3 linked regions of the Oreochromis niloticus genome follow. The protein of the gene in region 1 interacts with the protein of each later gene in a pairwise test. Links are inferred from orthologs where the notes say so. Each region holds a gene or a part of one and is shown in the gene's direction. Other genes may lie near its edges.

Region 1 (3,755 bases):
ATCTGAAAAAGTACAAAATCGAAGGTATAAATAGGGCGTTTTTATTGGCGTTAATGTTTTGGTCAGTAGAGGTCGGTGGATCAATCCAAATATCGCTAGCATTGATACCAACACTGGTACTGGCATCAGACTGATACTAGTGCAAAAGGATCGATACTTTCTTTCTATCCTCTAAGATCAGTATGTAGCTGATTGTATTAAATTGATGATAATTCTCATCATAAATCATGACACACTGCTCTCCCTGGGATAAGCTGCCTTTATAAGTTCGAAGTATCGGCGATACTGGCTCTGTATTAACTTGTTACCTGATCGACACCATAAATGGCAGTATTGCACACCGCTGTTGGTCAGCACTCTTTACCAATCACAACATCAGAACACCTGGCTCATGCTAGATCAATTTGCAGGTTAGCATCACGTTCGACATCAGCTCACACGAAGTGCACGTGTGACGTGGAGAAATCTGCTCGCTAACCTTTTTACCGCCTGTGAGCTGAAGAAAGGGGTGATTCAGGAGGAACTCTCTGAGGTCCGCAGGTAACTCATCCATAGTTTAGAAACACTTCAAAACAGCTCGTTCAGCGTGTTGACGACGACAACGCTTCAACAAGGAAGCTCCCAACACGTGGGCTCACTGCGCAGACTCTGTTGTGTGATCTTGGCGCCATCCAGCGATCAAATCAAGTAAAACCCATCTTACACGAAGTTAGCCATTCACCTCTCTCATTTGGCATCAGGCGATCCTTTTATCGAACAACCGGTGTGATTAAACAAACGCAGACAATTGTCTGCAAGAAATAATGTACACGGTCCTTGATATACTCCCCTCCCCCTTTTTGCTACCTTTAAGAAACTAAACCTTAATCGACTTAAGGTGACGACAGAGCCCAGTCAGCTGACTGCAACCATCTGACAGGTCAGAGAGCATTACGGAAGACAGACAGCCCACTCTGCTTGGTTTTCATAAAACTACAGAGTAGCCGACATATGAGCGCATGCGTGAGCTTTGAATTAAAGTTCATAAACCAGTAAAGTAGACACCTGTAAAAGTAAATAAAACTATTTTATAAATCTTCCTAGCATGGCTAGTTTAGCACATTTGTTTTACTCGACTAGTCACTGGAGACTGTGGACAGAGTGAGTCATCTCGCTTTGGAACCAAAACCACGCCCACATTTCTCCCACAATTCCCTGGTTCCGTAAACAAATATCGGAAGCTAGTTGTTTGAGATGTCGTGCATACTGTGAATTAAAATCTGACAATAGAGCTAAAGTAGAACCCAGAGAGCGCTGTTGTTGTTACTTACAATTACATTAAGAGCGTTTAGTAATGTTACTGAGCTAGCTGGCTAGCTTAATAGCATAACTGACGATATTTAAGGTTCCTACTGTTTCTTAAGTACACGTATATATATATAACAATGTCTGGACCAAATGGAGATCCAAACATCTCTGCTGACGATGGTATTATAAACGACGAAGATGATTTCGGCGAAGAAGGTAAAACAACAAAAGCTTTCATTGTAACTAATGCTAACAATCATTAGAGCAGCAGGGCCGCTCCAGTGATTTTTAGGTTAATTTTAATTACGTGTGGAGGTATTTGTGGGCGTGATTTAGTTTTAAATAAAAAAGACAAGTCGATCCTTAATACTTTAGTAGGAATTGATGGGGTAATTAGCAGCCATGTTCAATGAATTGAAGCAACTGTAAAGATTCATGGGCCAAAGTTCCTCCAAAAGAATGTAGGACACTGAGAAGGTCATACAGAAAACAGTGACTTCTGCTTAAGGGCTTCCTAAAAACTGTTGAATCATGGGTTGTGCTTAGACCTGCACAGAGTCAGAAAATGTTCTGAATAGGTGTCACAGTAACTACACTCAACATCACTTCATGTAAACATCCCTGCCTGATTAAACACCCGCACCAGTGCCTCTTCGTGGCGGTTGTGTTGTCAAATAAATGTTGACCTTCATTTTTTCTTAAGTGCAGTTAACTAAACTGGTTTTCACATCTGCCTCATTTTCAGTTTTAATTTTCTTTAATAACCTTGGTGATGAATAATGGACTGTTAAATTGGTGGGATGTTATTTTTTATTTAAAAGAAACAAAAAAAAAAAAAGGTAACTGAAGCCAAAAACTGTCCATTTTCATAGCATTATTGTGTCTTTCATTGATAACAATATAAATTTATATGATCTAAAACTGTTAAACTCTTTATTCAGTCGTTGCTCTCTAAATTGCCAAACAAAGCAAACTAACCTGTGCTGCTCATCCACAGAGTACTCTGCCATCAACAACATGCTAGATCAGATCAACTCTTACCTCGATGACCTGGAAGAGCGTAACGACGCTCTTAATGGCAAACTGCACGAACTGATGGAGTCAAATCGGCAAGCTCGACTGGAATTCAGAGCCCAGTTGTTGGGCCCCCCAAAGGAGGAGGATGTGGAGGAGCACTGTCCCACAGCAGATGGGGAGTCCTCCTCAACCAGCAAGGAGGACATAAACGAGGATAAAGAAGGCTTGCAAATGAATGACATGAATATTTAGATCAGGAGGTTAAATTAAGGAAAAAGCCGGGATAGATATATTATGAATGTTGACTCAACTCCTGAAAGCTGTCATTTGGACTAGTGACCCTTTATCTTCATAGTTGACGCTCACATCAGCAGGCGTGTGCAATAGATTACATCTCTTCCTTTGCAGAGCTCATTCCGGTTTCTCCTTTGGCAATGTGCCGATGTTCTGGTAACTAACCTCAAACAGCTTCTCATGCAAGCTGGATGTTACATCAACTTCTTTAATTTCACTGCAGACTTTATAAATCTAAAGCCAGATGTGCCGCATTGTATTGGGTAGAAAAGGCTCTGTAGAGATTTGTACAGAATTATGTGGGAGGTCACAATGCCAAGTCCTAAAGCAAGAAAACGACTAAATATATATTTTTAAAGTTGGTATTAAAACATGGTCTTTGATAAACAAGGTTCAAACTACAGGATCAACCTTAAATCTTTCCAGATTCTGGAGCTAAATATTGTTTTGATACAGATTTCATATCAACAACTTCTCAAGCATTTGAGTCAGTCCTTGTTAAACAGAGAAAGACTCCAATTGAACTTCCTCAAGTGTTTCATTGCATTATTAGCTTTGCAATTCCTATACTCTCCCAAAAAGTAAATAGGAAGCATTCAACACTCATATGTATTATAATGCTTGTTGTGCATCCTAACTGTAAACGCTGTGCTTTGTTCAGTGTCTGTTAAGTGTGAGCTGTAAAATCAAAAAAACGAAAAGTTGGAATTATGAGACATTTTTAATATAAATTAAGATGACTCCCAAACAGAAAACAAACATCCAAAAATACAATAAACTTCCAGCAGTTAGAAAACATCACCAGTTTGTTCATCTCAATTTGTCAGTAGCTGAATAAAAATACAATAAGAAACGTACAGCTTTGTTTGAAGTCATCCTTTACATGCCCTTTTTTTTTGCCTCTCCCTCTCTCCGTTCTGTTTCAGAGCTTAAAAGCACAGATTAGATCACGTCTCCTTCATTCAGAGAGAATACAACACTAATCATGTGACAGTCGCTGACGTGACTACAAGGGTTGCTACGTGTGTCAGTCAGTCCTCTGTGGTTTATAATAGGCTTCTCTAAAACACAGGGTGAAATGTTCCAGAGCAGAGCGCTGGTTATGAAGGAAATGGTGCTTCCTATTTCACCCTCACCTGTGAGTAACACCTCTGGAT
Region 2 (3,529 bases), on another chromosome or scaffold:
AAATAAAGAAAAAACATATGTAACATGTAATGTTATTGTAATGAAGAATTTCTGATGGACAGGGTATAAACAGGAAGAAAAAGTGTAGACTATTAATTACTAAATAGTGGAAAGGGTGTGGGATTAAATAAGATTATGCTTCTTCCTATATTTTAACATGTTCAAAATAAAGATTCAATACAATACACCTTCTGTGGATACTTATTAGATGTAAGCTGATTAGATATTTATACTGGTGGGGATACACTGTTTCTATTATTGACGGTGACTTCACAAAATGACATTTACTGATGACAGTGGCTGATGGTGTGATTAAGGGGGATAAAAGTGATAGGGTGAAATAAAGGCAGATGATCTGTTATAGCAAAAACTAAAAGGAGAAGCCAAAAGAAAAAGCAGAACATTAAATTATTAGCCTTGAATTTCATAAAATTGGTCCATCTAAAAACGTGTGTTATTCTCCATGGCTATTTCTGATTGCACATACGTTTGTTTTAAAGGATCAATAATTAATTAAGTTCTTTTGCTTTTTTTTAACACGTTGATAGTATTTTCTTTACACACACGCCTACTCGAACGGTGTCATTACACACACTGACCAGCAGAGGCGTTATATCACTAACGGTTATGGACAGGAAGCGCAAGGAATTGTGGGACTTTTAGTTCTCAGTGGGGGACGATTACCCTGATAACAGAGCTAAGAACTAGACAAAACATTTACCGTTGAAAATAAAACAGCAGCCGTGAATTCAGCATATGCAAGAGCTTCGTGTGCTCCGCGGCCGGCTAATCTCGGGTGTATTTAGTCGTCGTACGAAGGAGAGCGCCTCACTTTTGCTAAAAAATAAACAGGAAGTTGTTAGCGTTGTGGGACGTGTAGTTCCGCTTGCAGGCCGCCGAGCTTGATAACATAGCATAGAATAAAGAAACAAAAATAAAATAATCTTAAATTCACCCGAAGGCCGCAGATTTAGCCTCGGCGCTGAAGTAAATATGCCTGGGTTCACCTGCTGTGTCCCCGGCTGCTACAACAACTCGCACCGGGACCGGGAATTGCGCTTCTACACGTTTCCTAAGGACACCGCACTCAGAGAGCAGTGGCTGAGGAACATCTCCCGGGCCGGGGTCAGCGGCTGCTTCAGCACCTTCCAGCCGACTACGGGGCACCGAGTCTGCAGCGTGCATTTCGCCGGCGGGAGGAAAACCTACAGCATCCGAGTGCCGTCCCTCTTCCCTCTGCGAGGGGTGAATGAGCGCAGAAGTCGGCGGGGCAGAGGCAGGAAAGTGTCCGCGGCGGTTCCCGCGCCCGCCGCAGCTGCGACCTCCGGGATTGTTGTCACCAGTACCGTGCTGGGCAGCACCGCAGAAGGAGCCGAGGCCAACGCAGGTGGGGAGGCGAGCGATGACAGCATCACCGTGGTGCAGATAGGCCAAAACGGGGAGTACCTGGGCACCGCGCGACTGCCCGTCCAAACGGAGGGGACTTCTTACACGGGGCAGGTCGGCGGTGCAGCCGAGGTCACGGCTGGCGACTCCCAGGCGGACACCTCATCCGCGGCGGCACCCGTGCAGTATGTCAGCGTGACCAGCAGCCCGCTGGACCACTCGTACTCTCTGACCACCGGCACCACGTCGGCCGAGCTGCTGAGGAAGCTGAACGATCAGCGGGACATCATCGCGCTCATGGAGGTGAAGATGAAGGAGATGAAGGCGACCATTCGTCAGCTCCGGGTGGCGGAGGCCAAGCTGCAGGAGGAAGTGCGGGAACGGGACCGGCTGCTGTACGGCAACACGGTGGCTGCTAACGTTCGGAAGAAAATCTGATGGGATGGGTGAACATCCCCGGAGACGAGCCGTTACACAGACTCAGACTGACGGAGAGCAGGAGACAGCAGATCCAGCCCCGATTTCTACGAAACTGAGAGCGATGACAATTTATTTTCAACAAGTAGAGCTGATTTTTATTTTATTTGTGTTTATTTTTTTTTGTAGGCTGGCTAGTTGATGTAGCTGATAGTAATAAACTTATTGCTATTCTCATTGAAACATGCACAGTCCGCCTCTGGTCTGCAGCCAAACCAAGATCACATGAATCCATTCAGATGAGACTCGTAGTTTGCACAGACTCACATGTTTGACTTATTTATGACGGGACAGACTGAGGGGACACCGGCGAGGAACATGCTCAAAACTGCCTAGCTGCATAAAGTGTTTTTTGTCCTTAAGCTGTTTTTGTTTTGTTTTTCCAACTGAGTTTAGGAGGCTCTTGTTGCAAAAACAGGAAAACAAAAACACCCCACAATAACATGCAAAAATGCGCCAAGATGAAGTATCTATAGGATTTTGTTTTAACCAAAACACTAATCTTGGCCTGCTTATGGTTGTAGTGAACTAAATAAAACTCTACCACGACTGTTTCAGAGTTACCATTAAAGGTACCTTAAGATTATTTCCATTATTTTTGTTGCTAGAAGTATTTTTGCAACTGAGAAGAAAAAAAAAAGACTTGAAGAAGTTCCTCAAAGCTTTAAAGGGCACTTAAAATGAATTGTTATTAAAGGATGCTTCTTGGGGACGTTTTTTCCATAGTTTTTGGGAAGCAGCACGTGCTTCTTTTTTCTTTTTTTTGGTGTTATTTAAACATTTTACGTGCCTCTTCACTATTTTCCACGCAGATGATTAGTGGCCACATATTTGTCCTGTTCATCAGTGTTTTAAGCATAGGATATTACAAACATTTCATATTTTTGAAGCTGATCTGGCAGCTCATTGTTTAAGACTGGCAAGTTATTTCTCAAGCCAACAAGCATTTTGTCTCATAGCAGCATTTTAGAGACTTCTGGTGGGAAAAAAGGATCCGACAGTGTTTCTGTTGTTTTCTTTTTAAACCTTCATTGATATTGGGGGGGTTTGGCTCATGTGATCTCATCTCCAGACTGCAGCTGAGGGGTTTGTTTTAGAAAAAACAATAAAATGAGATGAAGATTTGCAGTGGCTCTTGTAAGTCATATTACAATATTTTTCAGCTGTGTTGAGTTGTGGACAAAATAATAAAATTTGTATGAAATAAACTTATAAAAGACTTGTGTTGGAAACCTTACAGTTTACAATCGTCACGTAAAGTGCAGTGATCTTAAAATTATTCACACCCAAAATTTAATTGGATTTGAATTTGTCGCGAGTGGGTGACAGGTCTGGTCTGCAGGCAGGGCACTTTACATCATCATCATCATCATTGTTTAGCATTAGTGGTGTCTTCACAGATGGACAAGTTAGATATTCTGTGCAGATTAATAGCTCTGCATCACAGAGATGCTGACTTTAGGTCTACAAATCTCTCTCTTTAGCTCACAGGATGCGAAGTATTACTTCTATCAGGAATTTTAAATTCTGAGTGGTCAGAAAACCGCTTTATATTTCACTTCATTGTCCAGGCTGGACGTCAAGAACATATCAGAGTTTTTGGATCTTCTTTGTGTGTTTTCTTTTCTTTGCATGTCAGAGTTTTAACTTGCTTTTGTGGCTCTGT
Region 3 (3,755 bases), on another chromosome or scaffold:
TGCCAACTCTCTTATGTAAGCGCACTTGTAGCTAGATTGAGATGACAAATATGGGGACAGACTTACTATTCCCCAAATCTTTTGCTTTCAACATCCTGTTGTCCCTGTAACCTGAGGACAGCAGCCTACCCCCTGGAGTGTTTGACCCTTAGATCCTATCACCTTTGTTTTCCCATTCTTTGATCTCAACACTCCTGATTTAAGACTCTAGATATTGTATCTTGTGCCTCTGTTTAACATTTACATATAAATCATCCTCTAGTGATAGTCGTCTCCTCCCTTCCTCTTGTGTAAACCACTACGAATGCCATGCCTCTTTGGTGGGTCAGAGTCGGCTCATCTTCCAGGACCCACTATCTGGGCTGGTATATGGCTAGTCCATTTCTTTGAGAGTTGATAAACTGTGTGTTAACTTATTGTGATGATAACCACCTTGATGTGATATCATGGGTATGCAGGCCACAGACAGGCAACTGGGACACAATGTCAGCAACCACAAGTACTCTGAGTTTGAAAAATGCTGCAGTCAGCCAATTAACATCAATCCCTTTCTACATCAGAGTATTTTAACTATACACTGCAGTGCCTGTTCATGAAGTATATTCAGCTACCAGTAAAGACATCCGTTTATGGAAGAACACTGTAATGAAAAGTATCATTTTTTCTATTTTACTCAGATTTTAAAATATTAGTTGCGGTCATTTTTAGAGGCTTTAACCTGTAAAAAGACTTTGGCCATAAAGATGTTTTCTTTCTAATCCTTAGTCTACTATCAAGAAAGGTGTGGACAAAATAGTAGAGAGATACCTTTAATATTAAACGAAAAGTCCCAGTCCGTTTGAATGGAGCCACTTATCTGTGTTTCTATGTTTTCCCACTGAACAAAAGTCAAAGCCCAGGTTTAGCTTATATACAAATATCCAGGACATAAAATAAAAGCAGGGAAATGAAACAAACTTCTGCCATTTGTCTTTTTCCCCTGTTGCTGTGAATGGACTGATGTAACGCATCATCATCGCAGAAAAATCACTTACTGTTTAAAATAGAGAATCGGCGACAAAATATGGACACAAAAAGCTGCTTACCAAATATTTAGTACGTGTTACCAGCGACTGTATGACTTCCTAGTTATCACATTTAAAACCACGAGAAGAATGTTCATTCAAGCGCAGAAACGCTTTCTTTCAACATCAGTTAGCTTCCCAGCTAATAACCCGGTGCCCAGCTCACATGCGGCACACGCAGGCTAAGCTGTTAGCCGGCTATCTGCCAGTTCCGATCGTTCCCCAGTCCCCGCCAAACGACATCTTCATAAAACAAACTCACCTGTGTCATAAGGTTACAGAACGACGCGCCTGAATGTTCCGTGCTGACTTTGTTTAAATGTCAGATTCGGTTTTCTTTCTGGTGTTTTGTTTTTTTTAATGAGTAACTCAGGCCCGCTAGCTCACATTCATGGGTGTGCTAATTTGTCGACCCGGAAAAGATCGTAGGGACCTTCCACACGCGCGCATGTGCGGAACGAGATTGGTTCTTTGGTCACATGACGCGGAGGGCCAGCTGATCATCGCCGACAAGATCACGACCGTCAACTCGATCTGCTCTTCTAATCCTACACGAAGAGCGAGATTTTAGCTGTTATATGTCTAGATTAATAATTCAGGATTCAAGCTAAAGTTGTAGTGTTGATTTAGGGAAGCGGGAGTGAACTGAAAATCGCAGTAATCGACAAAAAACGGAAAGATGTCTGGAAAAGACAGGATCGACATATTCCCCTCCAGAATGTAAGCAGCTTGTGCGATGGCTAGTTGCTAAAGCAATGTAGCTTCCTTAAAGCTCATATACCACTGTTTTGTTGACATATTTGCTTTTATATATGAAAGTTGTGGATAATTTTCTGCATGCATTTGAAAAGCAGGGATCGCCGTTTTGTTTTGTGCCAAGGTTACCGTTTAAAAGAGGAAGAATCCTTCTGCTGTCATGTGATATTTCTCACATTATCCAAGTGTGAGCTGTCAGTCGGAGCGACTTCATTTTAACCTAATTTCACCTGCATCCAGTTATATTAGATTTACGACCACTGAAACAGTATAACACAGAGGTTTGACCCTTTCATCAGCTCCTGGGTGCAAATATCAGTGAGCTGTGTATGTAGAGGAGTGGTGCAGATTGTGTTGATCCTTACCTTGTTTTAAAAATAACGCTATTACACAAATTACAGCATGTAACACCTTCTGTCCGTAGACTCTTGGTTCAGATAAGATCTCCTCCCGAAAAAAAATTCTGAAAATTCTGAAAATTTCTAAAATTCTGAAATGGTAAAAAACAGAAGAAATCTCAGGAAAATCAATGGGATCTCTCTTCCAGGATGGGAAGGGATTCAGCATAGAGCAACGTAGTAAATTTATATTAGAGACGATCAGGATGACATCGTTAACAATCTAACATGTAACAATCTGTGAGTAATGTGACACAAAAGTGGGCTTGAATGTTGATGGCTGTATGTTTTCGGCTGCTCCCTTATTCACAAAGAGGGCTCCACAGAGGATGGATCCCCATATTTATCTGGTCTTAATCCAGGGATCTCTAACCTTTACACTATGGAGCCATGTTAAATTCCAGCGCAGGCCTAAGGCAGCCTTATTGCATATGAGTCACCTGCTCAAGTCTGGAAAGAGCTGGGGAAAGATTGTGATTTGGAAATTTTTATTTAGCCTTTATTTAAATTGAAAGTTATCAGTCATGATAATTTAAATGAAAAGTCAATGAGCAGTCAATAACAAGTGAGTTACAACTACTTAGCTATTTAGCAGATAAAATTCAACTTGTCAGGAGCTCATTGTAAGGTCTCCCACCAGAACTACAACACATGGACTTATGCATTAGCTAGATGAAAGAGAAGAACAGATACTACTACTTATTCATTTTTTAAGGTAAGCCAGCAAATGGCCAGTTGAATTAGAACCCAGGCCTCCACACTATAGCCCTATAATATACAGGTTTGCCTGCTAAAACCAGTGAACCACACTGGTGCTCCAGAACAAACTACTACTCTTGACAATTAGCATTTAGTAGCCTGATAGAAGAGGGAACAGAGGAGTTTCAGTAGTGGTTTTTTTGTCTTCATGGGTGCATGATAGCCCTGCCCTGAGGGCATTGAAATAAACTCACTAGAGAGAATGTGGCCACCTTGACTAATAAGACCCTTTTCTTTCTGAACTACACATTTCTTTGGACTTGGTACTCTTGGAGTATACGTCTTTAATAATGTTTTTAAGGCTGTTCCTGTCCTTCAGAGATGACCCATTGAACCAGTATATGACATAAAATGATGAAATGTGGAAAATTAGAAGCAAATCCATTAAAAAAAAAAAAAAAGAGCTTTAACAAGCATAGAGGTCGAGAGAGAAAAGAGGAAAATCTGAAATGCCGGTTAAAAAAAAAAAAACTGGGGTGAGGGTATCAACTACCAGGGAAGAGAGACAGAGACCTTGGGATGGCCTAAGGTCTGAGTGAAAACATGACAAGGAGATGAAATGAATGAAACTTGGTTGTGTCATTTTACCCCTAATTTAACTGTCTGATTCAAATAGAGTGTTAAAAATATGTGGGTTTCTCTGGATTTGCAGGGCTCAGACCATCATGAAGGCTCGGCTGAAGGGAGCACAGACCGGCCGCAACCTGCTCAAGAAGAAGTCCGATGCCCTCTCCATGCGCTTCCGTCAGATCCTTCGCAAAATTATTGAAGTCAGTTT

The links.
Region 2: the proteins of bbln (region 1) and thap11 interact in a two-hybrid assay, tested with the Homo sapiens proteins (2 studies listed by BioGRID and IntAct). The link is inferred for Oreochromis niloticus from reciprocal best matches to the Homo sapiens genes BBLN and THAP11.
Region 3: the proteins of bbln (region 1) and atp6v1d interact in binary tests that used the Homo sapiens proteins (3 or more experiments, as listed by UniProt). The two-hybrid records come from large-scale screens. The link is inferred for Oreochromis niloticus from reciprocal best matches to the Homo sapiens genes BBLN and ATP6V1D.

Annotation. Positions count from the first base shown.
Region 1 is NC_031972.2:20,471,801-20,475,555, reverse strand, and holds bbln (bublin coiled-coil protein), read left to right. Parts: upstream 1-1,183; 5' UTR 1,184-1,424; coding exon 1,425-1,503; intron 1,504-2,284; coding exon 2,285-2,556; 3' UTR 2,557-3,198; downstream 3,199-3,755. Other genes in the region: surf2 (surfeit locus protein 2), read right to left, coding at 1-2, 479-553. UniProt on the Homo sapiens protein: Essential for intermediate filament organization in intestinal cells, interacts with intermediate filament and regulates intestinal lumen morphology.
Region 2 is NC_031965.2:22,654,936-22,658,464, forward strand, and holds thap11 (THAP domain-containing protein 11), read left to right. Parts: upstream 1-963; 5' UTR 964-993; coding exon 994-1,824; 3' UTR 1,825-2,974; downstream 2,975-3,529. UniProt on the Homo sapiens protein: Transcription factor, which has both transcriptional activation and repression activities. Also modulates chromatin accessibility.
Region 3 is NC_031980.2:14,225,919-14,229,673, forward strand, and holds the start of atp6v1d (V-type proton ATPase subunit D), read left to right. Parts: upstream 1-1,548; 5' UTR 1,549-1,743; coding exon 1,744-1,784; intron 1,785-3,629; coding exon 3,630-3,747; intron 3,748-3,755. UniProt on the Homo sapiens protein: Subunit of the V1 complex of vacuolar(H+)-ATPase (V-ATPase), a multisubunit enzyme composed of a peripheral complex (V1) that hydrolyzes ATP and a membrane integral complex (V0) that translocates protons.